Linked DNA regions of Saccharomyces cerevisiae S288C. Changing the gene in region 1 together with any one later gene gives a genetic interaction. Each region holds a gene or a part of one and is shown in the gene's direction. Other genes may lie near its edges. The genes, in order: GRC3, FRE3, SLP1 and RGI2.

Region 1 (8,409 bases):
CAAACAGAGGGCGCTCTCCTCGTCTTTAGTCCAATTTTTTGTTTTCTTGTCAAATTTGTATATCGTCAGCGAATTGCTCTCGTTTGAGTATGCAATCATATTCTTTCCAGAGTCGTCAATGTCATAGGTAACGGTGCCCGTCTTGAATTCTGGGATTGTGTAAGTTGGATACGCTAGCGTGCCGACATCCTTTCTTAGGTCAAAGCAAACCACAGTTTGGTCACACTCTACTACCATCCAGTACCCATTGTCTGCAAATTTAACCTCTTTTATCTTGGCTTCTTCATCTACGGGGAATCTAGAGCTTGCCTGGTCAGGTGATGACAAGTTGTAAACGTCTAATATACCGTCCGGAGAGTAAAGGGCTAATAATAATGAATCCTTATGTAGGACACCGCTGCTGTACTCAACATCTGATTTAGCAGAATGAACAATATACTGGGAATCATCCTCGTAGGATTGAAATCCTATGGTTCCTCTATTATCCGCCCAGATGAAGTACTCTGTGTTGACCTCGTTGTGACCATACATATATATAATCTCATTGGCGGAATCTACCTCTATTTCTCTGAGGACTTTGTTTGTTTTTGAGTCCAATATAGTTATTTGGTTACCTGGATATAGTAGTAGCAAACGATTACAAGGCCCTCTGGAAATAATAGCTGGATGCTCTCCCCCGGTACGGGGATTTGGTGTAGTTATTGTGGTAATCGTTTTCGAATCTTTTAATTGGGTAAAATGTAAAGCACCATCCTCACAGCGACACATGCACACCCATTTATCATAGTACATAGATTTGTTAAGCTCTTTATATGGGAATGTTTTGATGTTACGGGAGTAATTTTGTGCCTGTAATAGCTCCAAATTTTTTAAAATCGGCCATTTGGGTGCTTTGAGCTTGCCCCTCGCTACAAAGTCTCTAGAAGATTGTAACAGCCCTTGTAAAAATTCTTCTCTCGTAATAGCTACCGCTTGCTGTGAGGATTTGGGTAAATCCTTCGAATCTTCGTTTTTTTCCATCAATAGTTGCGCAGCGACCAACTTTGCAGCATCTCTTTCGTACATTACAGTCGACAGTTTTTTCGTTAAACTATCTAGAGTTGATCGTAACTTAAAGTTTTCGAGCATTATAGCATCCCATTCATTCTGTAAACTTGTCAACAGATTCGGAATCGAATAATTCGCTTTTAACGTAGCAGAGTTTGTAGACTCTGTTAGTGAGGCTTGTTGCGCACTAGGTACGATTTCCACTATTTCTTCGATGCTTAAGGGCTCATTTGTTATCGGATCATTCCCCGTATCTTTAACATACTGTTCAAGGAGCGACTTTTCAAAAATAGTCCTGGATTTAGGTGATAGAACTGGCCTTCTAGGAACTTTCCCACTAATAGCACAAAGCATTGTTCCCTAGTTGGCTTTCTTGGCTATGTTTTGGTCTTTAATATTTCTTGGAAAGTTTGCATCTTTCTAAAATTGCCCTTACGAATTTTTCACCGCTGCTACCCGAAAAAGTACGAAATTTATCAACATGAAATTTATTCCTGCCAAGTCATCGAGTGCTCTGCGCCTAAGGCTTAGGTTGCATTTAAGTTGTCTTAATTCACGCTTATAGTGCAGGTAGTATAGGTTCCCCACTCCTGATCTTTCCCTTCTGAAATAAGGAAAGACTGCAGTTTAGTTTGGCAGAGAGAAGAAGATAATCATTTCTATTATATTCTACCGCTATGGTGATAGATTCCAAACAGGATCTACCTCAATATACCAAAGATTCAGGTTCAGAATCGGACTCAGACTCAAGTAATAATTTCATTGTGGAATCTCCGTCAATTCCATCTTCAAAAAGTGCAACCGTAGTTCTCAATAGTGAAGAGTATGAGGACGACGAAGGTGATGACTTGAACGGGCTGGATGCTGAATTGATCGATAATATAACGTATGAAGGAGATGAAGATGAAACTATGTTTGTGGGGTTGAAAGAAAAACAGAAGTTACATTTATCTGGTGTTTTCCGGCTGCAAGTGGTGAAAGGAGGTATTGTCTACAACAATGTACACTATAACGCTTCGAGAGAAATTTTAACCTTCTGGCACCCGTTATCACAGTCCATACCTACTATAGATTTTTCGCACTTTGCAGGCTGGCAAGACACTTTTTTTATGCCGAGAAACAACAGGTTTAAAATTAGAGATGAAGAATTCAAATCATTTCCATGTGTTCTTCGCGTTTTTAATTCTAATCATACGGGCTTGTTAGAAGCAGGTCATTTATATCGGGATGTTAATTATCTATGGAAACCTAAAGAACCTTACTTTCCATTAAACGAGAGAACAACGTATCATTTATTACATGAGTCAGACCGAATTCAATCTTTATCCGTGCCGGGATATTGGTCAACTCCGTTAGAGAAGTTATATTTGAGTCACAAGAACGCTGCGTATGATACAAGAATCATGGTGATTGGTGGTAAAAACTCTGGGAAGTCTACATTCTTGAGGCTTTTATTGGAAAAATTTACGCAAGATATACGAGATTCTACTACGAGCCAGGAAGAATTGGTATACCTGGATTTAGATCCTGGTCAACCTGAATACTCACTACCTGATTCAATATCCCTGAATAAGATTCTTTCCAGCCCTATTTCTCTCGGACAACATCTCTGCCAAGGTTCAAATTTCCAAACTTTGTTACAGTTCTACGCTGGCTCCTCTTCCCCGCAGGACGAGCCCACATCATACCTGAACTGCGCTGATAAACTTATAGACCATTTGGAAGAGCAAGCCTTCTTCGGAACGTCATTGCTTAATCTACCTGGGTGGATAAAAGGATTCGGGATGCAGATTTTAAATCATATAATAAGGAAATATAAGCCCACTCACTTATTGTTTTTGGAAACAGCTAATTCGAAAAGACACCTGGATGAACTAACAATTCCACAGAGTTTTTCCACATCACTACGAGATGCATATGCACCTGAAGTTGTTCGCGTTCCAGCCCATAGTCTGAACCACACCTTATCTTCTAGGTTCCATGCATCACAACTGAGAACATTCAAAATACTGGCACTGTTTCATAAAATAACTCAATTTGATTATGATTTTGCGCCTCTTTTAAAATCTGCACCTTTGCAAATTTCATATGGCAAAGGTAAAAGCGGTATTAAAGGCATTCAATTTCCTATGGAATTCCAGGATCTGAATCCTCAAGATATCAAGTCCGCATTGGAAGGTACTGTCATTGGGATATATACATATTCTGGAGAAGACTCACTAGAGGTGAAATCCTTGAATACCTTTCCCATCCTACAATCGTGTACTTCTTCTTCTAAAAATTTCATAACTCTGGGGCTGATACACTCTATTGACACCTCCCAGCAAATAATGAACATTTACGTGCCACCTTGCCATACCCAGATTTTAGATAAACAACCTGAGGATGCTCAATGGATAATAGTAAGAAATAAGACGGAAACTCCTTTTTGTGACTTTCTTCCATCCCCCCGCACAATTACATGGGATGATAATATACAAATACCGTTCGCAACTTTTGAAAGAAGGAAAAAATTGGAACATGTGTGGAAAGTTCGTAAGAACGTCATGAGACGTGGCCAATTCATGAAAAGATAGAAAGAAAAGGTAATCGTACATTTTTTAATAGTGAAAGATAGAGGATACACAAAAATCATGCAAAGTTTTATATATTTGTTATGTATACTCATATTCCTTCAATATCTAAGTCATACTAACTTCTAGGGACTTTACCAAAATATTATTTATAAATTTATTGTTTCATTTCTTCCGCATCCTTCATCTCCTCCGTTAAACCCATTTTCTTATTTAATCTATCATATTTCAGTCTATCTTTATCGCTCACAGAGGGTTTAATCTTTCTTAATGCACTTCGGAAGTCAGACATGGTCACAATAATTTCTTCGCCAGATACGCCAACCGATAGATCCTCAAATTCCTTGTCTAAGTCATTATCAAGAACAGATTGTATTTCTTCGCTCTGAAAAAACTTCCTTTTTAGAGCCAAGACTGAACTCTCCCTGACTAAAGCAGCCAAGTCAGCGCCTGAAAAATTGTTGCACTTCTCATTTCTGATAATTTCTTCAAAATCAACATCGCTACTCAGAGGTGTTCCGTGTGATTTGGTCAAAGTTTTGATAATATCTAGTTTTTCCTCAGTATTAGGTAACTCAATAAACAAACTCTTATCCAATCTGCCCGGTCTTAACATAGCAGGATCAATCATATCAGGTCTATTAGTGGCGCCAATCACAAAAATTCCCCTTCTATCGTTCAGCCCATCTAATTCCGTTAACAAAGTGTTGACGACTCTTGAGGAGGATTCGGACAAAGAAGTATCTCTTCTTGGCACCAAAGCGTCCAGTTCATCAAAAAATATAACACACGGTACAGACGCCCTTGCTCTAGTAAAAACTTGTCTGATGGACCTTTCTGATTCACCAACGTATTTATTTAATAATTCAGGACCTTTGATTGATATGAAATTTGCACGAGATTCATTGGCAACAGCTTTTGCTAGTAACGTTTTACCACAACCTGGTGGTCCCCACAATAAAACACCACCAGGGGCGCTAATTCCCACTTTTTCATAAAGCTCTGGTCTCTTGATGGGTTGCACAATAGCCATATTTAATTCAAGTCTAACTCTTTGCAATGCGCCTACATTAGCCCAAGTAACATCAGGTACCGTAGCGAACCCTTCTCTCTTTGCTGTTGGTTGAATTGTTGGCAACGCTTTCAAAAAATCTTCGTACTTAATCGATAATAATGATAACTGCTCTCCTGATAAAGGCTCAGGATAATTACGAATAAATTGTTGGACTACGGATAAAGGCAACGGATCGATCATATTCGCAGTGTTCTTCAGGCTAGATTCATCTCCGTTTGCTGTTTCATCAATTTCCATGTTATCTTCTGAACTGTCCGTTGCCGTAGTTGGTGTGGATTTTATATTAGCATAGGTTTGGAAAATTCTTTTAATAGCGCATGTACCGGCAGCAGTAACTAAAGCCTTTAAATCAGCGCCAACAAAGCCTGGGGTTAATTTTGCCAATTTGGCAAAATCGATAGCACCATCAATTTTTAGGTTATCAGACATTTTCTTTAAAATATGTAACCTTGAGACTTCATTCGGGACATTCAGGCATATTTCTCTATCGAATCTACCTGCTCTTCTCAATGCTGCATCCAAAGAGTCAGGTCTATTCGTGGCACCTATGATAATAACAGGTTTTCCATTTGTCTTTTCCATCGTTAATTCATCCATTGAGGTCAATAATTGGGCAACTATTCTTCTCTCCATTTCTCTTTGGGCTCCTCCATCACGTTTTGGTGTAATGGCATCTATTTCATCAAAGAAAACAAGACATGGTGCCAAGCTTCTCGCTTCATCAAACAAATCCCTAATCTTTTTCTCGCTTTCCCCAGACATACCACTTACGACTGAAGGTGCAGAAATAGATATAAATGGGACTTGTAATTCTCCAGCTAACGCATTAGCAATCGACGTCTTACCGCAACCCGGTGGGCCATGCAACAGAACACCTCTAGGTGGTTCGACACCCGTGGATAAAAATATCTCTGGATGAAGAATGGGTAGACCTATTAGTTCCATAAGTTGTGCAACGACATCATCCATACCACCTAAGGATTTCAGAGACGAATTAGGTGGAGATCTATCTTCCTTGATTTTTTGACGTTTTACCTTACATGTACCTTCTTTGGATCTTTTTTTAGATTTTTTAACCTCTTCTGTCTTAGGATCATCAGTTTCTGTTATAGACTCGGAAACAGATCCAGATTTGGACCACGTGCTAGTTATGCGTTTGTTCATCTCATTTGTGTCTCGCTCAATCATCATATTTTTCTTAGCTAGTTCTTCTTCCAAGCTTGGTTTCTCTTCCTCTTCGTTGTTGTAACCTGGGTAAGAACCAAATTCTTCCAATTCTGATTCAATCACGTCTTTTAGCATGCGGTCAATTGTCTTTTGTAAGACAACTTTCTTAACTCTTTGAAGTGATAAATCTTTAGTCAAACAAAAGGTAAAAATCTCACCTGCTGTTAAATCTTTAGCGAAAAACATGGATTCAAATATATCCTCATCTTCTTCACCCTCGTTGTTCTCGCCCTCTTCTCCTTGGGATTCTTGTCTCAGAGACCTTTTTCTGTCCAAAGTTTTTTCTTCCAAGAGACGATAGATAAGATCGACGATCTTGTTATCTAGAGAACTTGTTAATGAGTTCTTTTTCGACTTTACTTTAACCATTATTCCAGCCTTCCCACCACGTAGCTATTATCGGCCCTAATGATCTTTTATTCTAACTGACTCGCAGATTAATTCACACATCGGTTGTTAATCATTGTTTGAATTTCCAAAATATGCGATGAGCTGAATGAAAAATTTTGGAACCTGTCACTATCGACGAACATCGAAGTTTGCCATGACAACCATATATGAAGAAAGCTTATGAGACTAGCTCGAGTATATCATACGTATGCATGTTAATCGCAGTTAAGCGGATAACACAATGCGTAAGCCTTCTATTACGATAACAACAGCAAAAGCTATTATAACTCCAGACTATACTCTTATTAAATCGCATTCTAAATACCAACTTCCTTCACGTTTTCAAAAGCTAGATGCAGACTCACCTGAGAGAAGTACAGTTGTTAAGCTATTTTACCGCCGATTTATGAGGCTTAAGCCTTTCATATCGAATGTGAAAATGGTTAAAGATACTTACAGGGATTATGTTCGATATAAGTTTATGAAAGAAAACTACGAACTCAAACGATACTTGGTATTCAATCCTGATGGCTTGAGGTCGAAAATCAATCTTGAGCTTCTCAGCAACACGAAATGTTGTGAAAGGATACTCCCCGTGACTGAGATGCAAAGAACCTTGGAATTTGTTCTGAAGAGCTGTTCATACTTGCCCGAAACAAAAGTTCAAAAGTGGGATATTGCAAGGGACAACACATATTGCAGGCAAATTTTAAAGAACCTTTTAACAATGCAATATGAAAAGTACAGATCGATTTTGCATAGAGGAATAGGCCATGATGAGCTTGACGTCAAATTCTCTCATTTGAAAACTACTTCTAGTCCGCTAACTAAGCTAAATAAAACCGAAAAGAAAAAGATTCCGCTTTTCAAAGTATTTAGTGATTTCGATACAACATTGATATATCTCAATGAGACATTAGGTACAAGGTTATAAAGATCATTATCGTAAAAGAGGAGCGGAGCGGAGCTTTTTAGTATGTATGGTAAAATATCAATCAAATACTGTAATAGATGCGGATATGCGCAATGACATATTTTGTGGTGTGCATATCCATTGAAAAGGTGCGTAGAACGTTACAATACTACTGAACTTTTTTCCTTCTCATTTTCTGCCATTTTGATATTTATGCCTATTATTGGTTTGAGCTTTATTAGAGTTGGCATAATTATAATCGTACTCGTATGTATATCCGTATCCATACCCATATCCGTTGTAATAAGTGTTTGGTATATATCCTTTGATGGCTTGGGCTCCTCCTACCGTCGTTATAACAGGCATTTTGTGGCGTTGTGGTGAGGCTCCTGATTGGCTGGTATTATCGATGGTCGTACGACTTTTGGCATTATTCATTGATCTGAAATTGCCATTGGTATTGCTATTACTGGTGTTACTCTTGCTGGAGGCAGACCCTAGAACAAATTTTTTAATTATTTTTTTAAATATTATTTTCGTCTTTTGTGTTTCCAAATAATTGGATAGTAATTCGATTGCTTTTGTTAGAGTATTCTCATTAGTATCCTTTTCAAAAGTAAAAGTGATAAGGTCCTTCTCAAAAGTTACAATTATGTTCATAATTTGCAAAAATGGAACAACAATTAGGTTATAAAATTCGTATTCTTTATTGGGATCTATCTCTTGATCTATTTTGAACTCGTATTCATAACCAAACGCACTATTAACCAATTCGTTAGCGGCTCTTGATGCATTCTCATCATTTCCTTGTATACTCAATTGAGATGTTCCATCCAAGGGCTCTTTTAACGGTATCATTATGTAAACATTTTCGTTCTTTTCGATTTGTCCTATAATATTCTTTTGGCCGTTAACATGCAAAATATGTCTATATTGCCCACTAGAAAATCTAATGAGCGTCTTCGATTGTAAACTATCATATTCTTGAACAATTTGTTTTAAATCATTCTTGGCTAGGCATATATTAGCTTTGTTTTTCCTGGGGCACCTAATTATCACATTATCATACCTGATCATAGAAATTTTATTTTGTGGAAGATTGAAACTATTGGAAAACTGAATGAAGACGTTATGCTTTCTCATTGTGGCTTGAATTAAGGAACCACCTGTACCTATAATCGGTC
Region 2 (8,799 bases), on another chromosome or scaffold:
TTTGTTTAAATTTTGTTCGGTCTCGGCTATATTTGGAAGAAAAATAGCCAGTACATACTTTCTACCACTTTCGCTCAATTATCAATAAAAACATTTAATCGAAAGTCATTCAAACTGAAAACTTCAAAAGTCATTTTTTTATTGCTTCCCATTCCAATCACAATTATGCTTTGAGCCAATTTCAGTAAAACTTTGAAAATACGTAGGCGCATCGCATCGCCTAACTTAATTCGCGGTTTAACTAGCTTCCTCCACCAGTTCCATAAAAAAATGATGGATCAGTGCAAAAAAATTTTATCATAAATCTGATGAAGTATACTAAGCTGAATAAGCTGTAGGCCTTATTTGCTTTTTTCATACCCTTGGTTGGTACGACAGTAAAGATTGGCAGGTTCGGAGATACAACTTTTTTTGAGGCTTAGAATGCTCGGCCTGCATAAAATGGCGTTAAAGTTGCGCACAGGCCCCGGAAACCCTGCCAAGGAATATTACATAAGTTGCAACATCTTTTTCCAATACATGGTTAGAGAGTTTTTAATCGTTATACTTTTTTCTCATTTGATTAAAAAATATAAAATGAATTGCGAAATTCTTCTAGAAATGCGTTACTATTTTACGGTTGGCATTGCAAGATTATTATAACTACGAAGCAGTGTTGGAAAATATCATCTGGGAAGAAATTCCTATTTCTTGGGAAGAATTACATGTGCATAAAAAGATAAAACCCTCGATCACCCAAAATTGACTTTGCGACTAAAAAGTGATTTTTTCAGCATATTGCATTTCAAAAAGTCGTTGTTTAGCACAACTCATAGAAAATAAATACTAGTATGATTCGGGAATTATTTATCAGTTAATTATAGGAGTACAGCCTTTTATAGAGTTGGCGAAGATAGCCAAAAGATAAAAGCTTTGACGTACGTCTGTAAAAAGTGCCTTTTCTGATCGAATCCAGTTGCTCAGATATCCGGGAAGTTGTTAGCATTCATTGCTTTTCTGCACTATATCAGCATATGAATGCTTTCAGTATTTTAATTTTACCCTTTCACGAAGTACGCCAGAAAATGATTGGAAACGTACTCAAAAACAAAGCAGGAAATAAGCGACGAAAATTTTTCATTTCAATTAAGAGGTACTGAGCGGCTACTTAACTTTTTCTGCAGTAAGTAATGACAGAGTATCACTACAGAATTCTGTGCCTCCGGTCTGGGAATGCAGCTAGGGAGACAGCACCCTTTTGCTAATAATGCGCCGGAAATGAAACATTTAGATAAAATCTAAAGTTACGAAAACAATACACTTTGAGGGAAAGATATCAGAGAATTAAAAGCTGCAAAGAACTATGACAAATTAACCGCTTTGTTGACCCTAGATCATAGTTTACACTGCGAACGGGATAGTTGCAACCTCTTTTGTAAAATGCACCCATATCTCATTTTGCCTTTATTTCGGGTGTATAATAGGAGAAAAATTTGAATGGTAAAGAATAAGTCCCTTGCGAGTGTCAAGAGAAGCACAATTATTATTACTATTGGTGACGTGATTGAACTCGAGAATTTTCCTGGACCGATATTTGAGTTTTACGTGGAATGTGGGTGTACCTCATCTCAAAGAATTGGCGAAAAGCCAAACTTCTTAATTCTAACAAAAGCTACTGATTCGTTGGCGATGAAAGACTCTTTTTTTTGGCTGTCAGAAGCTTTCATCTTTGACATAGATGTACAGAATTTGATCAATTGTTTATATTAAAAGATTCGTCGCAACTTATATAAGGTGGCAAGAGAATGATTAACTTCAATTGCTGATGAACGTTCTCAATTCAAAAATTATAAGACACAAGGAAAACAATGTATTGGGTCCTCCTTTGTGGTTCTATTTTGTTATGCTGCTTGTCAGGAGCAAGCGCCTCCCCTGCTAAGACAAAAATGTACGGCAAGTTACCACTGGTTTTGACAGATGCCTGCATGGGAGTTCTCGGCGAAGTAACCTGGGAGTATAGTAGTGACGATTTATATTCCTCACCAGCATGTACATATGAACCGGCATTACAGTCAATGTTGTATTGTATTTACGAATCATTGAATGAAAAGGGTTATTCCAATAGAACCTTTGAAAAAACCTTTGCTGCTATCAAAGAAGACTGCGCATATTACACTGATAACCTTCAGAATATGACTAATGCAGATTTCTATAATATGCTGAATAATGGAACAACATACATAATACAGTATTCTGAAGGTAGCGCGAATCTTACGTATCCAATCGAGATGGATGCCCAAGTGAGAGAAAACTATTATTATTCTTACCATGGTTTCTACGCCAACTACGACATTGGTCATACTTATGGTGGTATTATTTGCGCCTATTTTGTAGGTGTTATGATTCTTGCCAGCATACTCCATTATCTAAGTTACACTCCGTTTAAAACTGCCTTATTTAAACAAAGACTTGTAAGATATGTGAGAAGATATTTGACAATACCTACTATCTGGGGTAAACATGCGTCGAGCTTTTCTTACCTTAAAATTTTTACAGGCTTCCTTCCCACACGATCTGAAGGCGTCATTATACTTGGATACCTCGTGCTTCATACAGTTTTTCTGGCATACGGGTATCAATATGATCCTTACAACTTAATTTTCGACTCTCGTAGAGAACAGATTGCTCGATACGTGGCAGATAGAAGTGGTGTCCTGGCATTTGCACATTTTCCCCTAATAGCTCTTTTCGCAGGAAGGAACAATTTTCTAGAATTCATTTCTGGAGTAAAATATACCTCTTTCATAATGTTTCATAAGTGGTTGGGAAGAATGATGTTTTTAGATGCTGTGATTCATGGCGCTGCTTATACCAGTTATTCCGTATTCTACAAAGATTGGGCAGCAAGCAAGGAAGAGACATATTGGCAATTTGGAGTAGCTGCTCTTTGTATAGTTGGTGTTATGGTGTTTTTTTCTTTGGCAATGTTCAGAAAGTTTTTCTATGAAGCCTTCTTATTTCTCCATATTGTGCTTGGCGCATTGTTCTTTTATACGTGTTGGGAGCACGTCGTAGAATTGAGTGGGATTGAGTGGATATACGCTGCTATTGCTATCTGGACTATTGATAGGCTAATTCGAATTGTTAGAGTATCTTATTTCGGTTTCCCTAAGGCTTCCTTACAGTTAGTTGGCGATGACATCATTCGAGTCACAGTCAAACGACCAGTAAGGCTATGGAAAGCCAAACCAGGACAGTATGTTTTCGTTTCATTCCTACACCACCTGTATTTTTGGCAGTCACATCCTTTCACAGTCTTAGATTCAATTATCAAAGATGGTGAGCTGACTATTATCCTGAAGGAAAAAAAGGGAGTAACAAAACTTGTCAAAAAGTATGTGTGTTGCAATGGAGGTAAGGCATCTATGAGACTAGCTATAGAAGGTCCATATGGCTCTTCATCTCCAGTCAATAATTATGATAACGTCTTGCTACTTACGGGAGGTACTGGTTTGCCAGGGCCCATTGCACACGCCATTAAACTTGGAAAAACGTCAGCGGCAACTGGAAAACAATTCATAAAATTAGTGATTGCAGTTAGAGGGTTTAACGTACTCGAGGCTTACAAGCCGGAGCTGATGTGTCTAGAAGATCTTAATGTACAGCTTCACATCTACAATACAATGGAAGTTCCGGCATTAACTCCTAATGATAGTTTGGAAATTTCTCAACAAGACGAGAAGGCCGATGGAAAAGGTGTTGTTATGGCAACTACCCTAGAACAGTCACCTAATCCAGTTGAATTTGATGGTACTGTTTTTCATCATGGAAGACCCAATGTTGAAAAGCTTCTGCATGAAGTTGGTGACCTAAATGGATCGTTAGCTGTGGTTTGTTGTGGGCCTCCTGTTTTCGTTGACGAAGTAAGGGATCAAACGGCAAATCTTGTTCTAGAGAAGCCTGCAAAGGCAATCGAATACTTTGAAGAATACCAAAGTTGGTAATCAATTACCTTATTTATTTCCTCACTATTTTACCTATCACAAGTATATATTTAATTGTTTTGACCTGAAACATAATTTATGTCTAGCTGCAATGAAGACAATTGATCGACTTTCACAAACTTTTTCAATCTACTAATCTTTGGAAGCATTTTTTAACTGTCTCCCACTCTTGTTCCATGACTTAAATTTCTCTTCCTCCAAATTAACTGAATTTTTTTTCTGGATTGATGTTCTTTCCAATTGTTGTGGTAATCCACAGCTGGTATAACATAAAAAGAAGTTTTTTGTAAAAAAAAAAAATTTCTCAGTAAGCATATAAGCCTCAGTGAAATAAAATTTTAACAACTACACGCTATTCTATTCCATTTGCCCTGCTTTTCTCGCTTCGTTATCACCTAACCACTAAGAACATACTAATAATACAAAATTTTTATCCACTTTTTACCAACAGATTTTCATGAAATATCCATCTTCTTTCCGAATTCTGTATAAAATGAAAGAGAGATTTTTTGCTCTCAATCCAGGCTCAAGGCTCTTGAGAACAGGTAATTGTTGTTTAGCACGTTTTCAACACATTTATCAGAAAACGACAGTTAAAAATAAGACGAGCGGCGTTATCATCCTGATAGTCACTAAATGAAAAGCAGGTACTTTTGAAGAGCACATGTAATATTTGCTCAACTGATAATACCTTCATTTTATACACACTTCTAATTTTTTTTTTAAAATCAGATACGCATTGATGTTCAATGTAGCATTACCATCACAAGACAAAAAATCAGAATTTTACAAGCAAAAGCGCTTATCTTTAAGGACCAACATATTAGATGAATTCTTAAGGGTTGCCAAAACGCAAGACAACAGGCAAAATAATTTCGTTTCTCAGTACCGAAATGACGAAATATACTGAGGCAAATGCGATCATCATGCCTTTGCGCCAAGAAACTCCCTTGTGAAGAACTTCAAACCGAAATGGGAAAACTTTGAGTTATTGACAGGGAATACGGAGGGGAAGATCACACTTAAATCCGTATGAGCCGCGCACATAATGGTATTCAAATACACAAGAACATTCATGAGCTATTTTTCATCCGTGCAAACGAATTTACTACAATTGGACCAGAGGGCACCATAACTGGAGACTTTGCTACTGACTCAACGTTGATGATGCGAGTAGTGGGTGTACTGTGATTTGCTCATTTTTTTTTTTATAGAAAGATTCGATTAATGAAAGTCACAGGAGACATTTTTACATAGACATTCCGTATATGTTGCGGGTATCGCGGATGCGGATTAGTGATGCCTTTAACTACATTTCATAGATTTCTGTATACCAATTGAAATGAGTGAAGTAAGCTCCTACAGTGAAATATCTGGGTGCTACTGACGCCAAGCCCTACAGCGATCGGAATGCGGGAACGGAAGTTAACGGGGCTTCCAGAACGGCGGAAGCGAATTGAACGAGGACGGCAAACAAAAACACCCAAAATTTCATTACTTAGAATGACCCTCAAGAGCAGGGTGCAATTTATCAAGCGATCATTGAACTAACTAAGTTCATATCCTGTATAGGATTTAAAACAATGCACCCTAAGTTCAAATGCACCCCCCCTCGCCCCGCAGCGGACCCTTGAACAGAGAACTGTTTCGAGGTTCACCCAATTGGATCACTTGTATAATTTGTAATCGAGTTCGGATAAGATGTATACGAATCTAACTGGGTGCAGTATAATTAGCATTTTATATTACCTAGCAATATATGTATAAAACAGGAATGTGTGCGTGCTTCAGGCAGAATTTTACGGTCCTTGTAAAAAAGTCTATCATAAAGCCATCACAAAACAATAATAATGAAATTCTCAACTATTTTCGGAGCTACTACAGTTATGACTGCCGTCTCGGCAGCAGCTGTGTCGAGTGTAATGACCACTAAGACTATTACTGCTACTAACGGTAATAACGTTTACACTAAGGTCGTTACCGACACCGCTGACCCTATCATTAGTTACAGTACCACTAGAACTGTCGTTGTCAGTAATAGTGATGCTACTTACACAAAGGTTGTCACCGAAGGACCAGATACCACCTCTGAAAAGAGTACAACAAAGACACTTACTTTGACAAACGGTTCAGGTTCATCAACCAACCTTTACACCAAGACCGTCACTCAAGCCGTCGAATCATCTACATCCTCCTCATCCTCCTCATCCTCCTCCTCCTCTTCTGCCTCTTCTTCTGGTGCTGCTCCTGCTGCATTCCAAGGAGCAAGTGTCGGTGCATTGGCCCTTGGTTTGATTTCTTACCTATTATAAGCTCGGTTTCAAACCAGAAAAAAGCTATTAGTTATCGTGTATAGCATATTTATAACTTATCTATGAAAAGCTAATATAATTGTCTTTCTCCTTCAAAAGGCTAGTAAAAAGGACTTTTTTTCATTACGTTTCTCAGTGACTTCAATGTAGCAGTTTTTCGTTTCATCATCATCATCGTATTATTATTATTGTTATTATTATTATTATCATTACTTTTATTAATATTAACTATTTTTTTAGTATGATTTCGGGTATATTTATTTTAATTAGATACTTTTAACCGTTTCAAACAATTAAAGGAAGACCAACGAACTTGAAACAGTATATATACATACATACTTAATGTGTGTTATTAAAATTTTTTTATTCTAACATAACTTCGAAAAAAGGCCAAGCCGCAAGGTGCTTCATAAAAATCGGATATCCCGCATGATTATTCACATATCATTTACAATAACATGACGGCAGCAAGGGCAGCACCCATCAAACCAGTACCAGCGGTGATGGCATCAGCAGCACCGGTGTAACTAGATAATTCAGCGGTGCTAGAGGATGTAGCAGAGGAAGAAGTTTCAGCAGTGGTGGTTGCAGTGGTTGAAGCAGAAGAGGTAGCAGCTTCTGAGCTGGTAGAAGTACTACTTGGAGACCAGGTGTTGCTGCTGCCTTCACCAGTCCAGACAAAAGTAGCATCTTGGGTGACAGTCTTAGTGTAGACGTGACCGTTCTTGGTGGCAGTGATAGTGGTAGTGATACTAGAACCAGAACCTTCATCAGCAGAAGAAGTCTCAGCAGCAGAAGAAGTCTCAGCAGCAGAAGTGGTAGCGGCAGCAGAAGTGGTAGCGGCAGCAGAGGTTTCGGCGGCAGAAGTTTCGGCGGCAGAAGATTCAGCGGCAGAAGTGCTGCTGGCGTAAGAGTCTTCACCACCCCAAACAAAAGTAGCATCTTGGGTGACAGTCTTAGTGTAGACATGACCGTTCTTGGTGGCAGTGATGGTGGTGGTGATACTCTCAGCAAGAGCAGTAGCGGCAACAGCAGATAGAACCAAAGCGGAAGAGAATTTCATTTTAGGGATTATTGTTATTAGTTATTTTTAAGCGAGTGGAAGTACTTGTTTGTATCTGTTCGAACATTCATATTACCTCCTAATACTTCAAATAGTTCTTGGCTTAAATACCCCATAAATCAACTTTTACAAAAAAAAAAATAACAAATCTCGAACGATAATTGAACCCCATTTTTTTGCACCCTTTCCTAGAATGGCGGAACTCGGCTCTTGAGCCCTTAGATTGCTTTCCTTCACATACATCAAAAAATATGGGATAGCGGGGTGCGGAACAAACAGGGTGCAAAAAAAAATCTAGGACATAGGTAGGACTAAGAAGACTGTGGCATTACTACACAGCAATCATATTTTACCGCTTCCTCGTTTAATTGGATTTTTACTTTTCATTACATTAGCGATCATTAAAAAAGGAGCGTCAATTTTTTACTTGGCAAATGTGTAATGTAGCGTTTTCGGTATGTCACATCACCAATTTTGTCGCAGTTAATTTAATTCACCCAGATTTCGAATGCTTTTCGCTAGATTAGTGCTGCTGTTGGTGTATTTGGCACCAGGTTCTTTAGCAAAACCAGCATCAACTAAGAAAAGAACGCAATGGGACCAGATAGCAATTGATGCTTGTGCTAAAGAATTGGAATCACACAAATTTGACACGGATGTGAAGGGTCGGCACGCTACTCTTTGCACTTATGAACCAGCACTAGGGTCTTGGTTACATTGCGCGAAGGATGTTCTCGACAGTAGGAAGAAAAGTAAAAAAATATTCGAAAAAACGTTTAGCAAAATTAATCAGTATTGCCACGATTATCACAAAGATGAGGTCGTCAGCAATGAGGAGTATTATCGAATTTTTGCCAATGCATCCCTTTTCATCCGGCCTCTTGATGAGGTAAAGGAAAACATACGATATCCCGTCACTCCCAATAAAGCCTCTCTAGATAGGTGGGTATGGGCTTATTTTGGGCCCCTGGATAATATAGACAAAGGAAATGTTTATGGAGTGACGATTTGCTTATACTGGATAGGAGTTCTGTTTATTGCAGCTGTATATCACTTCTTGAACTTTTCTCGACTTAAACAAACGGTGTTCAAAAACAAGGTGTCTGCTTTCTTAAGAGGCCACTATGTTCTTCCAGCGCTTGTTCATAACCATGCTATGTCAGTGGGAAGGTGGTTTTTCATCGGTCTGGTCCCTACCAGGTTAGAGACCCTTGTCCTATTCGGTTACGTTTTGTTGCACGGGTTCTTGTTGAGTAGTTACAATTTTGACCATAATGAGTTGCTCAGTGATCGCAGAAGCCAAGTGCTTATCTTCCTTTCCGACAGGGCAGGGATCCTGGCATTCGCACATTTTCCTTTGATAGTTCTCTTTGGCGGTAAAAACAGCACAATGACTTGGCTCACAGGTATAAGATATACCGCATTCATTACTTACCACAAA
Region 3 (8,551 bases), on another chromosome or scaffold:
TTCGAAAGACTTTAGACAAAAATGCCCGAGGCCAAGCTTAACAATAACGTCAACGACGTTACTAGCTACTCCTCCGCGTCTTCTTCTACTGAAAACGCTGCTGATCTACACAATTATAATGGGTTCGATGAGCATACAGAAGCTCGAATCCAAAAACTGGCAAGGACTCTGACCGCACAGAGTATGCAAAACTCCACTCAATCGGCACCCAACAAAAGTGATGCTCAGTCTATATTTTCTAGCGGTGTGGAAGGTGTAAACCCGATATTCTCTGATCCTGAAGCTCCAGGCTATGACCCAAAATTGGACCCCAACTCCGAAAATTTTTCTAGTGCCGCCTGGGTTAAGAATATGGCTCACCTAAGTGCGGCAGACCCTGACTTTTATAAGCCTTATTCCTTAGGTTGCGCTTGGAAGAACTTAAGTGCTTCTGGTGCTTCCGCAGATGTCGCCTATCAGTCAACTGTGGTTAATATTCCATACAAAATCCTAAAAAGTGGGCTGAGAAAGTTTCAACGTTCTAAAGAAACCAATACTTTCCAAATCTTGAAACCAATGGATGGTTGCCTAAACCCAGGTGAATTGCTAGTCGTTTTAGGTAGACCAGGCTCTGGCTGTACTACTTTATTAAAATCCATCTCTTCAAATACTCATGGTTTTGATCTTGGTGCAGATACTAAAATTTCTTACAGCGGCTACTCAGGTGATGATATTAAGAAACATTTTCGTGGTGAAGTTGTTTACAACGCAGAAGCTGATGTACATCTGCCTCATTTAACAGTCTTCGAAACTTTGGTTACAGTAGCGAGGTTGAAAACCCCACAGAACCGTATCAAGGGTGTCGATAGGGAAAGTTATGCGAATCATTTGGCGGAAGTAGCAATGGCAACGTACGGTTTATCGCATACAAGGAATACAAAAGTTGGTAACGACATCGTCAGAGGTGTTTCCGGTGGTGAAAGGAAGCGTGTCTCCATTGCTGAAGTCTCCATCTGTGGATCCAAATTTCAATGCTGGGATAATGCTACAAGGGGTTTGGATTCCGCTACCGCTTTGGAATTTATTCGTGCCTTAAAGACTCAAGCTGATATTTCCAATACATCTGCCACAGTGGCCATCTATCAATGTTCTCAAGATGCGTACGACTTGTTCAATAAAGTCTGTGTTTTGGATGATGGTTATCAGATCTACTATGGCCCCGCCGATAAGGCCAAGAAGTACTTTGAAGATATGGGGTATGTTTGTCCAAGCAGACAAACCACCGCAGATTTTTTGACCTCAGTTACAAGTCCCTCTGAGAGAACCCTGAACAAAGATATGCTAAAAAAAGGTATTCATATACCACAGACCCCGAAGGAAATGAACGATTACTGGGTAAAATCTCCAAATTACAAAGAGCTAATGAAAGAAGTCGACCAACGATTATTGAATGACGATGAAGCAAGCCGTGAAGCTATTAAGGAAGCCCACATTGCTAAGCAGTCCAAGAGAGCAAGACCTTCCTCTCCTTATACTGTCAGCTACATGATGCAAGTTAAATACCTATTAATCAGAAATATGTGGAGACTGCGAAATAATATCGGGTTTACATTATTTATGATTTTGGGTAACTGTAGTATGGCTTTAATCTTGGGTTCAATGTTTTTCAAGATCATGAAAAAGGGTGATACTTCTACATTCTATTTCCGTGGTTCTGCTATGTTTTTTGCAATTCTATTCAATGCATTTTCTTCTCTGTTAGAAATCTTTTCGTTATATGAGGCCAGACCAATCACTGAAAAACATAGAACATATTCGTTATACCATCCAAGTGCTGACGCTTTTGCATCAGTTCTATCAGAAATACCCTCAAAGTTAATCATCGCTGTTTGCTTCAATATAATCTTCTATTTCTTAGTAGACTTTAGAAGAAATGGTGGTGTATTCTTTTTCTACTTATTAATAAACATTGTCGCGGTTTTCTCCATGTCTCACTTGTTTAGATGTGTTGGTTCCTTAACAAAGACATTGTCAGAAGCTATGGTTCCCGCTTCTATGTTATTGTTGGCTCTATCCATGTATACCGGTTTTGCTATTCCTAAGAAGAAGATCCTACGTTGGTCTAAATGGATTTGGTATATCAATCCGTTGGCTTACTTATTCGAATCTTTGTTAATTAACGAGTTTCATGGTATAAAATTCCCCTGCGCTGAATATGTTCCTCGTGGTCCTGCGTATGCAAACATTTCTAGTACAGAATCTGTTTGTACCGTGGTTGGAGCTGTTCCAGGCCAAGACTATGTTCTGGGTGATGATTTCATTAGAGGAACTTATCAATACTACCACAAAGACAAATGGCGTGGTTTCGGTATTGGTATGGCTTATGTCGTCTTCTTTTTCTTTGTCTATCTATTCTTATGTGAATACAACGAGGGTGCTAAACAAAAAGGTGAAATATTAGTTTTCCCACGCAGTATAGTTAAAAGAATGAAGAAAAGAGGTGTACTAACTGAAAAGAATGCAAATGACCCCGAAAACGTTGGGGAACGTAGTGACTTATCCAGCGATAGGAAAATGCTACAAGAAAGCTCTGAAGAGGAATCCGATACTTACGGAGAAATTGGTTTATCCAAGTCAGAGGCTATATTTCACTGGAGAAACCTTTGTTACGAAGTTCAGATTAAGGCCGAAACAAGACGTATTTTGAACAATGTTGATGGTTGGGTTAAACCAGGTACTTTAACAGCTTTAATGGGTGCTTCAGGTGCTGGTAAAACCACACTTCTGGATTGTTTGGCCGAAAGGGTTACCATGGGTGTTATAACTGGTGATATCTTGGTCAATGGTATTCCCCGTGATAAATCTTTCCCAAGATCCATTGGTTATTGTCAGCAACAAGATTTGCATTTGAAAACTGCCACTGTGAGGGAGTCATTGAGATTTTCTGCTTACCTACGTCAACCAGCTGAAGTTTCCATTGAAGAAAAGAACAGATATGTTGAAGAAGTTATTAAAATTCTTGAAATGGAAAAATATGCTGATGCTGTTGTTGGTGTTGCTGGTGAAGGTTTAAACGTTGAACAAAGAAAAAGATTAACCATTGGTGTTGAATTAACTGCCAAACCAAAACTGTTGGTCTTTTTAGATGAACCTACTTCTGGTTTGGATTCTCAAACTGCTTGGTCTATTTGTCAGCTAATGAAAAAGTTGGCAAATCATGGTCAAGCAATTCTATGTACTATTCACCAACCCTCTGCTATTTTGATGCAAGAATTCGATCGTTTACTATTTATGCAACGTGGTGGTAAGACTGTCTACTTTGGCGACTTGGGCGAAGGTTGTAAAACTATGATCGATTATTTTGAAAGCCATGGTGCTCATAAATGCCCTGCTGACGCCAACCCAGCTGAATGGATGCTAGAAGTTGTTGGTGCAGCTCCAGGCTCTCATGCAAATCAAGATTATTACGAAGTTTGGAGGAATTCTGAAGAGTACAGGGCCGTTCAATCTGAATTAGATTGGATGGAAAGAGAATTACCAAAGAAAGGTTCGATAACTGCAGCTGAGGACAAACACGAATTTTCACAATCAATTATTTATCAAACAAAATTGGTCAGTATTCGTCTATTCCAGCAATATTGGAGATCTCCAGATTATTTATGGTCGAAGTTTATTTTAACTATTTTCAATCAATTGTTCATCGGTTTCACTTTCTTCAAAGCAGGAACCTCGCTACAGGGTTTACAAAATCAAATGTTGGCTGTGTTCATGTTTACGGTTATTTTCAATCCTATTCTACAACAATACCTACCATCTTTTGTCCAGCAAAGAGATTTGTATGAGGCCAGGGAACGCCCCTCAAGGACTTTTTCTTGGATTTCATTTATCTTCGCTCAAATATTCGTGGAAGTTCCATGGAATATATTGGCAGGTACTATTGCTTATTTTATCTACTATTATCCAATTGGATTTTACTCCAACGCGTCTGCAGCTGGCCAGTTGCATGAAAGGGGTGCTTTATTTTGGTTGTTCTCTTGTGCTTTCTACGTTTATGTTGGTTCTATGGGTCTGCTTGTCATTTCATTCAACCAAGTTGCAGAAAGTGCAGCTAACTTAGCCTCTTTGTTGTTTACAATGTCTTTGTCTTTTTGTGGTGTTATGACTACCCCAAGTGCCATGCCTAGATTTTGGATATTCATGTACAGGGTTTCACCTTTGACTTATTTCATTCAGGCTCTGTTGGCTGTTGGTGTTGCTAACGTAGACGTCAAATGCGCTGATTACGAATTGCTAGAATTCACACCACCATCCGGTATGACATGTGGGCAGTACATGGAACCATATTTACAACTAGCAAAGACTGGTTACTTAACTGATGAAAATGCCACTGACACCTGTAGTTTCTGTCAAATATCTACAACCAATGATTACTTAGCTAATGTCAATTCTTTCTACAGTGAGAGATGGAGAAATTATGGTATCTTCATCTGTTATATTGCATTCAATTATATCGCTGGTGTCTTTTTCTACTGGTTAGCAAGAGTGCCTAAAAAGAACGGTAAACTCTCCAAGAAATAATAGAATTTTGAATTTGGTTAAGAAAAGAAACTTACCAAGATGGACTTTTTTAATAAACATACATAATCACTACATATAGGTGCGTAATAATAAGTTTTTATTTTTTTTTTCTTAATTCAGCGAGCTTTCTACATTTCAATTTTCTTGAATTTACCAGCTCTGATAAATCAAAGTTCAATGTCCGAAAGAATTCCGAGAATTTTATTCCTAGGTTATCTCATCGGTACTTTTTTTTTATAGGCATCAGCATTTAGTGTGAAAACATTATTTCTTAACTGTGCCTTACGGTTAAAAAGAAAGGACGCAATGGATATAGTTAAAATATAAGATATATTATATCATTATCTGTCCGAATGGCGAACCGTCTTCTCATATACGGCCTTATTTTGTGGGTAAGTATAATCGGATCTTTTGCATTAGATAGGAACAAAACTGCTCAAAATGCGAAGATTGGTCTACATGATACCACTGTGATCACGACTGGAAGTACAACGAACGTGCAGAAAGAACATTCCTCACCACTATCCACCGGTTCTTTAAGAACCCATGATTTTAGACAGGCCTCTAAAGTTGACATACGGCAGGCTGACATACGGGAAAACGGTGAGAGGAAAGAGCAAGATGCACTAACACAGCCTGCAACACCAAGGAATCCGGGCGATTCGAGTAATTCATTTTTATCGTTCGACGAATGGAAGAAGGTCAAGTCGAAGGAGCACTCATCAGGCCCTGAACGTCATCTTAGTCGAGTGAGGGAGCCAGTCGATCCCTCTTGCTATAAAGAGAAAGAATGCATAGGAGAAGAGTTGGAAATCGATTTGGGGTTTTTGACAAACAAAAACGAGTGGAGTGAAAGAGAAGAAAATCAAAAAGGATTCAATGAGGAAAAGGACATAGAGAAAGTTTACAAAAAAAAATTCAACTATGCATCCTTGGATTGCGCTGCAACAATTGTCAAAAGCAATCCAGAAGCGATTGGAGCGACTTCTACGTTAATTGAGAGCAAAGACAAGTATTTACTGAATCCCTGTTCAGCTCCGCAGCAATTCATTGTTATAGAGCTTTGTGAAGATATCCTGGTGGAGGAAATTGAAATTGCTAATTACGAATTCTTTTCCTCGACCTTCAAGAGATTTAGGGTGTCAGTTTCTGATAGAATACCGATGGTTAAAAATGAATGGACAATATTAGGAGAATTCGAGGCAAGAAATTCAAGAGAACTACAAAAGTTTCAAATACATAATCCCCAAATCTGGGCAAGTTATTTGAAAATCGAAATTCTATCCCATTATGAGGACGAATTTTATTGTCCCATATCCTTAATCAAAGTATATGGTAAATCAATGATGGATGAGTTTAAGATCGATCAACTAAAGGCTCAAGAGGATAAAGAACAATCCATAGGAACTAACAATATAAACAATTTGAATGAACAAAATATCCAAGACAGATGTAACAATATAGAAACGCGTTTAGAGACTCCAAACACAAGCAATCTCTCAGACTTAGCTGGTGCATTATCATGTACTTCAAAGCTCATCCCTTTGAAGTTCGATGAATTTTTCAAGGTGCTTAATGCATCCTTTTGTCCTTCCAAGCAAATGATATCTTCTTCTTCTTCTTCGGCTGTTCCTGTAATTCCAGAAGAATCCATTTTTAAGAACATCATGAAAAGGCTGTCACAACTGGAGACAAATTCTAGTTTGACAGTTTCTTACATTGAGGAACAGAGCAAACTGCTATCTAAATCGTTTGAACAACTTGAAATGGCGCACGAAGCAAAGTTCAGTCATCTTGTCACGATATTCAACGAAACAATGATGAGTAATCTAGATCTGCTGAATAACTTTGCCAATCAATTGAAAGATCAATCTTTACGTATATTAGAAGAACAGAAACTGGAGAATGACAAATTTACTAACCGTCATTTATTGCATTTGGAAAGATTGGAAAAAGAAGTCAGTTTTCAAAGAAGAATTGTTTATGCGTCATTTTTCGCCTTCGTAGGGTTGATATCCTATCTATTAATAACGAGAGAGCTTTACTTTGAAGATTTCGAAGAGAGCAAAAATGGCGCTATTGAAAAGGCAGACATTGTTCAACAAGCAATCAGATGAATCCTAGAGGGCCCATAATCATAATTCTAAGCATAATTCATTCAAGATGAAAAAATCCACCGCCATATATGAGGTGTTTCTATAGGAAATATCTATATACTTTTATAGTCCTAATTTCATTTTACATAAACTGTTTTAATCAGTTTCTAATAATCTATGAAGATAATTCACTGTTTCTTGAGGGGATGCTATCCAGAGGGTACATCCAGCTAGCCTTGCCTTAAAATCATTTGCTGATCCCACCGGTGCAAACTGATCGCCTACGTGTAAGGTTTCAGAGGGTTGGATAGGAGATTCAGGGTTATAAAATTGTTGCAATGAACGAACACCAAGATCTTTCCCCCCAATATCACACCAGACATCACTACCACCATCAAAACAACTAAATTGAATTCTTCTAGATGGGGCAAAAGACTCTAAAGTGTTTTGAAGGGTTAAAACTATTTCCTCCAGTTGTTCCCTATCAAGCTTAACAGGAACTTGTCTTTTAGAAGCTTCATCGTACCGTTCGCCTGGGACGATACCCACTGCCCTGACTTTACGGATAATAGAAATCTCTGAAGGTAGGTTTAGTCTTTTTCTTAACCTGTTAAGAGTTCTCTCGGCAAAGTCCAAAGTCTTTTCCACGTCCTCGAGGGACCAAGCCTTCATTCTAGGCAATAGCCATTCCTCTTTGTCAATTTGTCTAAAGCCAAAGTTATCTTCCTCCGGGTCTTCATAGTAACGGAAAAGGTAACTCGACTCACCACCCATTATTGTTAAATTCTGCTTTTGAGAAACTGGTATATCAGTTGAATCATGTAATGCAACAATTAATCCTTTCAATCTGTTCTCATAGGTTCCAGCTTCATCATATCCGGCCGCAGTGACTATTCCCACATTGATACCGCACCGCAACAGCTTGAGAATATAAGGAATTACAGGATTAGTGTAAACCAGGGAGCCACCATCTTCATACAGCGTCACATCTCCATCAAAAGTCACTAATCTCAAAACCTTACCATTATGTAAGTTCTCCTGTTTCTTAAAGTGAAATATCTGTGCAGTATTCAGGATATGCCTGATATCATTAAAACTGGGTGCTACCATTCTACGCGCCGAAATGGCCCGTTGTGAGTCTTCCCATAGAAAAGCTTGTTCCAATGGAAGTTCCGTAAAGAATGTTCCAATTGATGGAACCAAAAGATTTAAACGCGATTGTCCTAATATATTCAGAGATTGAGAAGAGGCGCCATCTTCAATTTCGTCTTGGCTCATGTTTCTTGAGTCAAATTCTATTTTATCTTTAATCAGCCCTTCAATGTCTTTAAAGATATCAGCATACTGCGACCTTACACGTTGAGTTGTTGCTAAGTCGTCATTGTAGTCACCTTCATGAGAGACGGCATGTAGAACAAAAGGTGAGGCCAGTAGCCCCTTTACCCAATCTATAAACTCATCCTTGCGGTGGCTCTTCAAATGATATTCCACTCTATATCTTGAGGACATTGCTATTATAAGTTAACTCACGATCTTTTGTTACTTTCTTTGAATAGTTTTCTTTTCTTAGTACATTCCTTTACCTTTTAAATTTTGTTAATTTAAGGGCGGCCTGTCCCGCTAAACGTGGGAAGTGAAAGGACATGAAATATTATAGTGTAATACAGGAAGTATACAGAGAAATCTATAGAAACCTATCACTGCAGATTCGCACACTACACCCATGAAGTAACCACAGTAGTAAAAAAACATAACAAAAGTCGTAATATTTATCAAAACAAAAACATCATTTACGCCCAAAAGTGGAAGTCAATATTAAGAGCGAAATGAAACAATAGAAATAAAAATAGAATACAATCGGAAAGGAAAGAAATCAAAAGACGGTTAATCAATCTGAT
Region 4 (7,221 bases), on another chromosome or scaffold:
GGCAGCAGTTCTAAGCATGGATTAAGAGGATATTATTATTTTATCTTACATAAATATGTACGCGAATTGAAAAAGAAAAAAATATTGTGTAGAATGTGTATTAGGCAGTTATGTATGTAGACAATTTTGTTTTGTATTTTTATCAAAGTAAAGGCTGGAAAACCGGCTGTGGTAAATTGCCATTTTGAAAAGAATTTTTGTTCTTTGTAACGTATGGCGCTGGCACAGACTCGTTGTGGTCATTATTATTTGTGTTGGAGGTGGAGGTGCCAGTGTTTAAAGTAGTGTTGCTATTTTCTTCATTCATTGGCGATTTAGAGATCCTATTAAGGATGTTATCAAAGGCAGTTAAGCTTGATTTTTTTGGATCATCTTTTTCTTGTGGTACCAATGGAATAGAAGGCATAGAGGGGTTTTCACCTATGCATGACATTTTGGGCAACGTAATGGGCACTGGTATTTTTGCATCTTGTAGTGGAATGGTGGAAATGTCCTTAATTACGAGATGAATCTCGCTCGTGGAAAAGGAATCAAATAACTTTGCCAAACTTTCATCGTTCAAGAGGTTATCGTTATGGAAAATACCAAAATTCTTGTTCTTGTTGATAATATTAAATAAATTTTTACAGTTTTCCAAAACTTCAGACACCGTGGGTGGTCCATTGCTCAACTGGTGGAAAGTAAAGGCTTGCTCGCGATCATTAAATCTAATGATCACTCTGCGATTAACATCTTTATTGGCCGATTGAGGCTTCATTGGTAGCGTAGTTAAAAGTGTAGCTCTATTCGATAGAGTGTTATTATTATTCAACATAACGTCACTTGAAACGACAGGAGGGCTTCTCTTAACCCTCTTGTTAGGTGAAGATGATGGTGGTTCTGACGCACAGGAACTAGCCAAAGGATACTGAACCATCACAATATGATGTATGATTTCACTTAAAGGGTAAAGCGTGGGGTCGAAGCCAAAATCCTTGACAATACCACCTATGACCAAATACAGTAGCCTTAGTTGTACCTGAGCCGCGGGGAAATGAGATAAGTTATGTCTTGTAGCGGCACCGAACAGTCTTTGAGACAACAAAGCCAGATTTTCAGGAGAGCACGTCTTGGCAGTGATATACTTCATTGAAGAAGAGACCAAGTTGGAGAAAAATCGTTCGATAACGAATGCAATAGACATTCGGATTGACATTTCACCCAAAATCTCCAGATTTGCGTATATATCAATGGATCCTGCAGCCTGCGAAATGTCCTGACAAGTTCTTGATCTTTGGATTTGTAGGAGTAACTTTTCCCTCAGGAAAAATGGCACGGTAGAATCTATCGGGATGTTTGTGGTAATGTTAGGTTGCTGGCTGAGTGAAGACGTAGCAAAATGTGACAGGTTTGGCCCAGTATATGGGTCCTTGAGAGCTTGTTCTGATAGGGGTACGACATTCGTAACAAGATCGTGCACTAGCATGGTGACTATATCGTTATACTTTTGTTGGGTCGAAGTAACCGATGGAGATGAGTCATTTTGGGTGCCCACGGTTGGAAAAATGGTTCCGTTATGACTCTGGTGACTCATGAGAGGCTGGAACTTGTTTGAAAACTGGAAATCTGCAGCATAATTAGAACTAGGCAGGAAGTCCGAATTGGAGCGCTGGTAGATCGACGGAGAGATCTCGTCGTCAGAAGTAGAATTTGACGAGATGCTGTTGTTGACATTGCCGCCACTGCCATTGGCTATGCTGAGAGCGTAGCGTTTTTTTGATCGTTTTCTATTCCTTCTCACTGATTGCACAGCAGCAGTGACTAACTTTTCGAATTCCTTAGAGCAGCTTACAGGGTATCCAAACTCCGTTCTTAATATTGTAGCAATCTGCTTTATGTTTTGATCTTGTTCGCTTGCCTTATATTGACTTAGTTGGAATTTGTCTATCAGCTCCAGCCTTCTGCTCGAAAACTGTTTCCATTTCTTTTCATCATTAAAATTGAGTAATTCTCTAATCTTATGAGTTGCTCCATTCCCAGAAAACTTATTTATTCTATATTGAGTGAATGTTGGAGGACCGTTCATATGTGTATAGGATATAAGCAACGAAGAAGAATAGGTAGAAAGAGAATAAAGAAGGTTTTAAAGCTATAACTAGTAGAAAAGAAAAATGTAGGAAGGGAATGCGGATGCGTTTATGCTAAGATGCGATGGGGACAATAGAAAAAGAAGAGAAAAAAAAGGAAGAGGAAGAGGTAGTGGTATAGAGAAAGAGAGAGAAAAAAAAAGGCTAGTAGTATTTGTATAGTAGGGAAAGGGCTAGATTAGAACTGAACCAAGCTGACCTGAATTGACTCAATAACACCATTCTCACCCACACAAGTACCGAAGATCCAAAAGGCAAGAATCATGGAAGAGAGCACATTGATTTATAGTAAAAAAAAAAAAAAGAGAAGACGACGGTAGAAAGATTTCAGGGAACATATGGCTTACACTTATGCTGAAGAAGTAAGAGGGAGAAGCGAAGCAAATATAATCTGTCACAATGCACAGTGCGCAAACGTAATCTGCCCACTCAGCTAATAGCTCCTGCCATGATTCTGCTGCGTAGTCTATATGAAAGGAAACGAAGGTCAGAGATGAAAAAGAGATAAAAAAGAAAAGAAACTTCTCCGAGGGGCGCAGAATTCAGGGCAAAACAACATGGAATCGATCAAAAGTCATAGTCACCCACGGAAACGTGGCGCCTATTCCGTGGCAGCTACCCGCCCGCCGCTTGTTCTCAGGGCACTTGTCCACTGCATTCCGATGTTCCGCGGAAATTAGCACGGCCTCTTATCCCCGGCTCCGCACGATTCCCTGTGTCCGTGCATAACGAATGACTCTTGTGTCGTGTTATCCGGGCTTTCTCCTTTTCCTTTCCCCGAGAAAGCAACCGACGCATACGGATATAAGCGGATCCCACCGAAAAGGAGACTCCACGGTCTTGGTGAATAACATCGCGCAGATTATTCTGCGAACCGTGGCTAATAGGAGCATGCCCGAAGAAATGATTATGGGTGCGTGATCACCAATCTGTGTGAGGCTGTCGAAGATATCTGATAATCAGTAAGCGATAAAAAAAAAATAAAAATAAAAAAATAACGACACCAGCAGGATTTGAACCAGCGCGGGCAGAGCCCAACAGATTTCAAGTCTGTCGCCTTAACCACTCGGCCATAGTGCCTAAAACAATGTAGGTTATTTAAGCAAGTATTGTAGATACTTTTCGTAATAAACTACAATGCACCCACGACTCGCGGTGTAATGATGGCATGAAATCATTGAACGAAGTTTTGCGGCTATACGGCTGAAGGACGAGACTAAAGGGACAGGAATTATTAATGCGGGGTATAATTTGAATAGTATTAACGGGCACTGCCGTTTAGCCATCAAATGCTATTGTTGGGGTATTCTCTCTACTTTTTGTTCTTGGCTTGAACCTTTTCGGCGGTTGGCAATCGTCCGTATATAAGCATCGGCTGTCCCAATCCTCTATTGCCCTTTTCCCTTGCACCTCCTTCTCAATTCTTCGTATCTTTCGCGTAAAGGTAGATCTTGATTCACCTATCTGTCGAAACACGATTAAGTGCAAACGAAACAACGTACAGTATATAACAAAGTATTTTAAATAATAAGAATGACGAAAAAGGATAAGAAAGCAAAGGGTCCTAAGATGTCCACCATCACTACAAAAAGTGGTGAGTCCTTAAAGGTTTTTGAGGATTTGCATGATTTTGAAACATATTTAAAGGGTGAGACGGAAGATCAAGAGTTCGACCATGTCCATTGCCAACTGAAGTACTATCCACCCTTTGTCCTGCATGATGCGCATGATGATCCGGAAAAGATCAAAGAGACTGCCAATTCGCACTCTAAGAAGTTTGTTCGCCATTTACACCAGCATGTTGAGAAGCACCTGCTAAAGGACATCAAAACCGCTATCAACAAGCCAGAATTGAAATTCCACGATAAGAAAAAGCAGGAATCCTTTGACCGGATTGTTTGGAATTATGGCGAAGAAACGGAGTTGAACGCCAAGAAATTCAAGGTGTCTGTCGAAGTTGTATGTAAACACGATGGCGCAATGGTAGATGTTGATTACAAGACAGAACCCTTGCAGCCACTCATCTAAGTTTGGGGAGCTGTTTTTATGAATTAACGAAATTTTATGAATTTACGAAATATAGCATGCTATATAAAATAATTTATATGCGCATGTATTTTGGTGTGCACCTTCTTACTGGAGTGTATACAAGTCTACAAATCAACACATGTGGTTTTTTTAATGTTTTGTCGTCACAACGCGACCTTAAATAAAAGAATTCCACGCTAGATTCATGCTACTATCACGAACAATACGTACCAATTAAGCTTTCTTGGTGTAATAAAAAAAGAGAAATGTACACACCACCATGATTCCGTTTACGTCTTGCTTTTCTACTTGTTTCGCTCATGGGTTCTCATCAGCTCTATTGTGTGTGCCCTCTTTGTAGATAATTAAACACATTGAAAAAAAAGAAAACGAAAAGATGGCACACGGCTTGGTCATCGAGTGAAGAAATGAAACTTCAAAAAAATTGCCGGACACTTAAACCTTAACGAGTTATACAGAACCGTATCCAGACCTGGAGCTGGGCTATAAGAAGAAGCGACAATATGGTATACTAAATTTCTGGACTCGTAGTCACTCAGTCTGTTTGTCAGTAAGTCACGTAGACCTGTATCGGCAGTAACTATGGTATTTTTTCCAGATTAATTATTATACGATGTTGTTACTTCGATAAGGTCACAACAGGTTTTCCATTGTTGAGAAACTGACTTTGATTATTATTTAGTTAGTAGGCAACTGTCATGTTGCAACCACAACAAGCAACAATCCTTTCACCATGACTATTATAAGCGGCCGGCAAAATTGCCGGGAAAACTGCCAGGGATATAATGCAACCTTCATTTGAGCACTTAAAATAGAAGATAACGTTGGTAAACCCCCCTTGATAGTGGACACATCCTACGTAGATCTCTCTACAGCCAAGTCGTATATATAGCAGCAAATTGCAACCAACCACATGGGACATAGGAATGAGTGGTTTTCTCAGACCCTGAACGTGACCGTCCATCATGAATTTCTCCACAGTTTTTCAAGCAATAATCGCGGTTTTAGGTTTAACTACAGTCACAGCTTTAGCAGAATTTGATTTCGACGTAGGCTATGAAGAGTTTGTCCGTACCAATCCTGATACGATTTTCTTAGAGAGTGATATTGGCCTGCACGTTGGATATACCGAGGGTGGCGAACGACAGATAGCAACGATACCACACAATTCCACGCTAGGGACTTCACTACGTGAGTATAGTGGCTGTGGTGGTAATGGTACAGAAACCTCCATCGCTACCCCCGCACCTACAATGAGTGAGGTACCTATCGCTACCTTCGTGAAACGTAGAAAAAGTGTACCTATCTTGCTACCGCAGGTATGTATGTGAAGAGTTGGTGAATTTTGAGATAATTGTTGGGATTCCATTTTTAATAAGGCAATAATATTAGGTATGTAGAATGTACTAGAAGTTCTCCTCGAGGATTTAGGAATCCATAAAAGGGAATCTGCAATTCTACACAATTCTATAAATATTATTATCATCATTTTATATGTTAATATTCATTGATCCTATTACATTATCAATCCTTGCGTTTCAGCTTCCACTAATTTAGATGACTATTTCTCATCATTTGCGTCATCTTCTAACACCGTATATGATAATATACTAGTAACGTAAATACTAGTTAGTAGATGATAGTTGATTTTTATTCCAACAGTATGGGAGGTATATGAACCCCTACAACCACTCATTTAGAAGTGGGGGACTGTAGTTCTTTTATGAAGTAACGAAATTTTATGAAGTAACAACAAATGTTGTTAATTGTAATCTTAATAATCTAACATTTAATAAATCTTGACCTTAGACTTTTTTGTCTATTCATAATATGCTGATATTACTTTTCTTAAATATAAATATAATCTATATAATATTATTAACGAAATGTAGGAAGCTAAAAAAAAAAAAAAAAAAAAGAAAGAGACTTTTATGCGTATATTTAGGTACCCCGGTACTTACTTCTGTATATATAAATCAGTGAATCAATACATATTTTTTTTTAATGTTTTGTCCTTATAACGCGACTTATTCAAAAGAAAAAAAGAAGTCCCATGCAAAAATCTTGTCATTATTGCGAATGGATATATCAGTGAGACCTTTTTAAGGTTGTAGGGAAAAGGAAGTACGCTTCATTACAATTTCGTTCATGTCTTGCTCGCCTACTTGTTTTGCTCATAAATCCCATCAGCACCATTGTATGCGCCCTTCGTAGGAAATTAACGCATCTGAAGAAAAAAAGAACTGCAAGATAATGACACACAGCACGGTCATCGACTGTCGAAAGGAAACCTTAAAAAAGTAATCGGCACCTCAACCTTGATGAATTATAATCTATCCAAGTATCCAGACGACGTGTCGAGACTTTTCAAGCCAAGGCCACCTTTATCTTACAAAAGACCAACCGATTACCCATATGCGAAGAGACAAACAAATCCAAATATCACTGGCGTTGCAAACTTACTATCAACCTCTTTGAAGCACTATATGGAGGAGTTTCCTGAAGGATCTCCAAACAACCATCTCCAAAGATACGAAGACATCAAACTTTCCAAGATCAAAAATGCTCAATTGTTAGACCGGAGACTACAAAATTGGAATCCTAACGTTGACCCTCATATCAAGGACACAGATCCCTACAGAACGATATTTATTGGGAGGCTACCATACGATCTTGACGAAATTGAACTGCAAAAGTATTTTGTTAAGTTTGGCGAGATCGAAAAAATTAGGATAGTCAAGGACAAGATAACCCAGAAGAGTAAAGGCTACGCCTTCATAGTTTTCAAAGACCCAATAAGTAGTAAAATGGCATTCAAGGAGATTGGAGTACACAGAGGTATCCAAATCAAAGACAGAATCTGCATAGTCGACATAGAAAGAGGCAGAACCGTTAAATATTTCAAGCCAAGAAGATTGGGCGGCGGCCTAGGAGGCAGAGGCTATTCCAACAGAGACAGCAGGCTTCCAGGAAGGTTTGCAAGCGCAAGTACATCAAATCCCGCCGAAAGAAATTATGCTCCCAGGCTGCCACGCAGGGAAACTTC

Evidence for each region.
Region 2: mutations in GRC3 (region 1) and FRE3 together harm fitness more than expected from each alone (negative genetic interaction), as found in Saccharomyces cerevisiae (one large-scale study listed by BioGRID).
Region 3: mutations in GRC3 (region 1) and SLP1 together harm fitness more than expected from each alone (negative genetic interaction), as found in Saccharomyces cerevisiae (one large-scale study listed by BioGRID).
Region 4: mutations in GRC3 (region 1) and RGI2 together harm fitness more than expected from each alone (negative genetic interaction), as found in Saccharomyces cerevisiae (one large-scale study listed by BioGRID).

What each region holds. Positions count from the first base shown.
Region 1 is NC_001144.5:66,856-75,264, forward strand, and holds GRC3 (polynucleotide 5'-hydroxyl-kinase), read left to right. Parts: upstream 1-1,724; coding exon 1,725-3,623; downstream 3,624-8,409. Other genes in the region: E3 ubiquitin-protein ligase PRP19, read right to left, coding at 1-1,401; putative AAA family ATPase RIX7, read right to left, coding at 3,778-6,291; IRC19 (Irc19p), read left to right, coding at 6,554-7,246; YLL032C (uncharacterized protein), read right to left, coding at 7,415-8,409. UniProt on the Saccharomyces cerevisiae protein: Polynucleotide 5'-kinase involved in rRNA processing. Required for the efficient termination by RNA polymerase I and the processing of the IST2 pre-rRNA internal transcribed spacer localized between the 5.8S and 25S rRNAs.
Region 2 is NC_001147.6:1,053,698-1,062,496, forward strand, and holds FRE3 (ferric-chelate reductase), read left to right. Parts: upstream 1-1,847; coding exon 1,848-3,983; downstream 3,984-8,799. Other genes in the region: YOR381W-A (uncharacterized protein), read left to right, coding at 4,726-4,893; FIT2 (Fit2p), read left to right, coding at 5,834-6,295; FIT3 (Fit3p), read right to left, coding at 6,744-7,358; FRE5 (putative ferric-chelate reductase), read left to right, coding at 7,867-8,799. UniProt on the Saccharomyces cerevisiae protein: Siderophore-iron reductase responsible for reducing extracellular iron prior to import. Catalyzes the reductive uptake of Fe(3+) bound to di- and trihydroxamate siderophores.
Region 3 is NC_001147.6:619,819-628,369, forward strand, and holds SLP1 (Slp1p), read left to right. Parts: upstream 1-4,910; coding exon 4,911-6,674; downstream 6,675-8,551. Other genes in the region: ATP-binding cassette multidrug transporter PDR5, read left to right, coding at 22-4,557; ISN1 (IMP 5'-nucleotidase), read right to left, coding at 6,810-8,162; SUMO ligase NFI1, read right to left, coding at 8,542-8,551. UniProt on the Saccharomyces cerevisiae protein: May be involved in membrane protein folding. Required for localization of MPS3 to the nuclear envelope.
Region 4 is NC_001141.2:244,835-252,055, reverse strand, and holds RGI2 (Rgi2p), read left to right. Parts: upstream 1-3,659; coding exon 3,660-4,154; downstream 4,155-7,221. Other genes in the region: YIL055C (uncharacterized protein), read left to right, coding at 1-14; VHR1 (Vhr1p), read right to left, coding at 143-2,065; YIL059C (uncharacterized protein), read left to right, coding at 5,141-5,506; YIL060W (uncharacterized protein), read right to left, coding at 5,230-5,664; U1 snRNP complex subunit SNP1, read left to right, coding at 6,497-7,221. UniProt on the Saccharomyces cerevisiae protein: Involved in the control of energetic metabolism and significantly contribute to cell fitness, especially under respiratory growth conditions.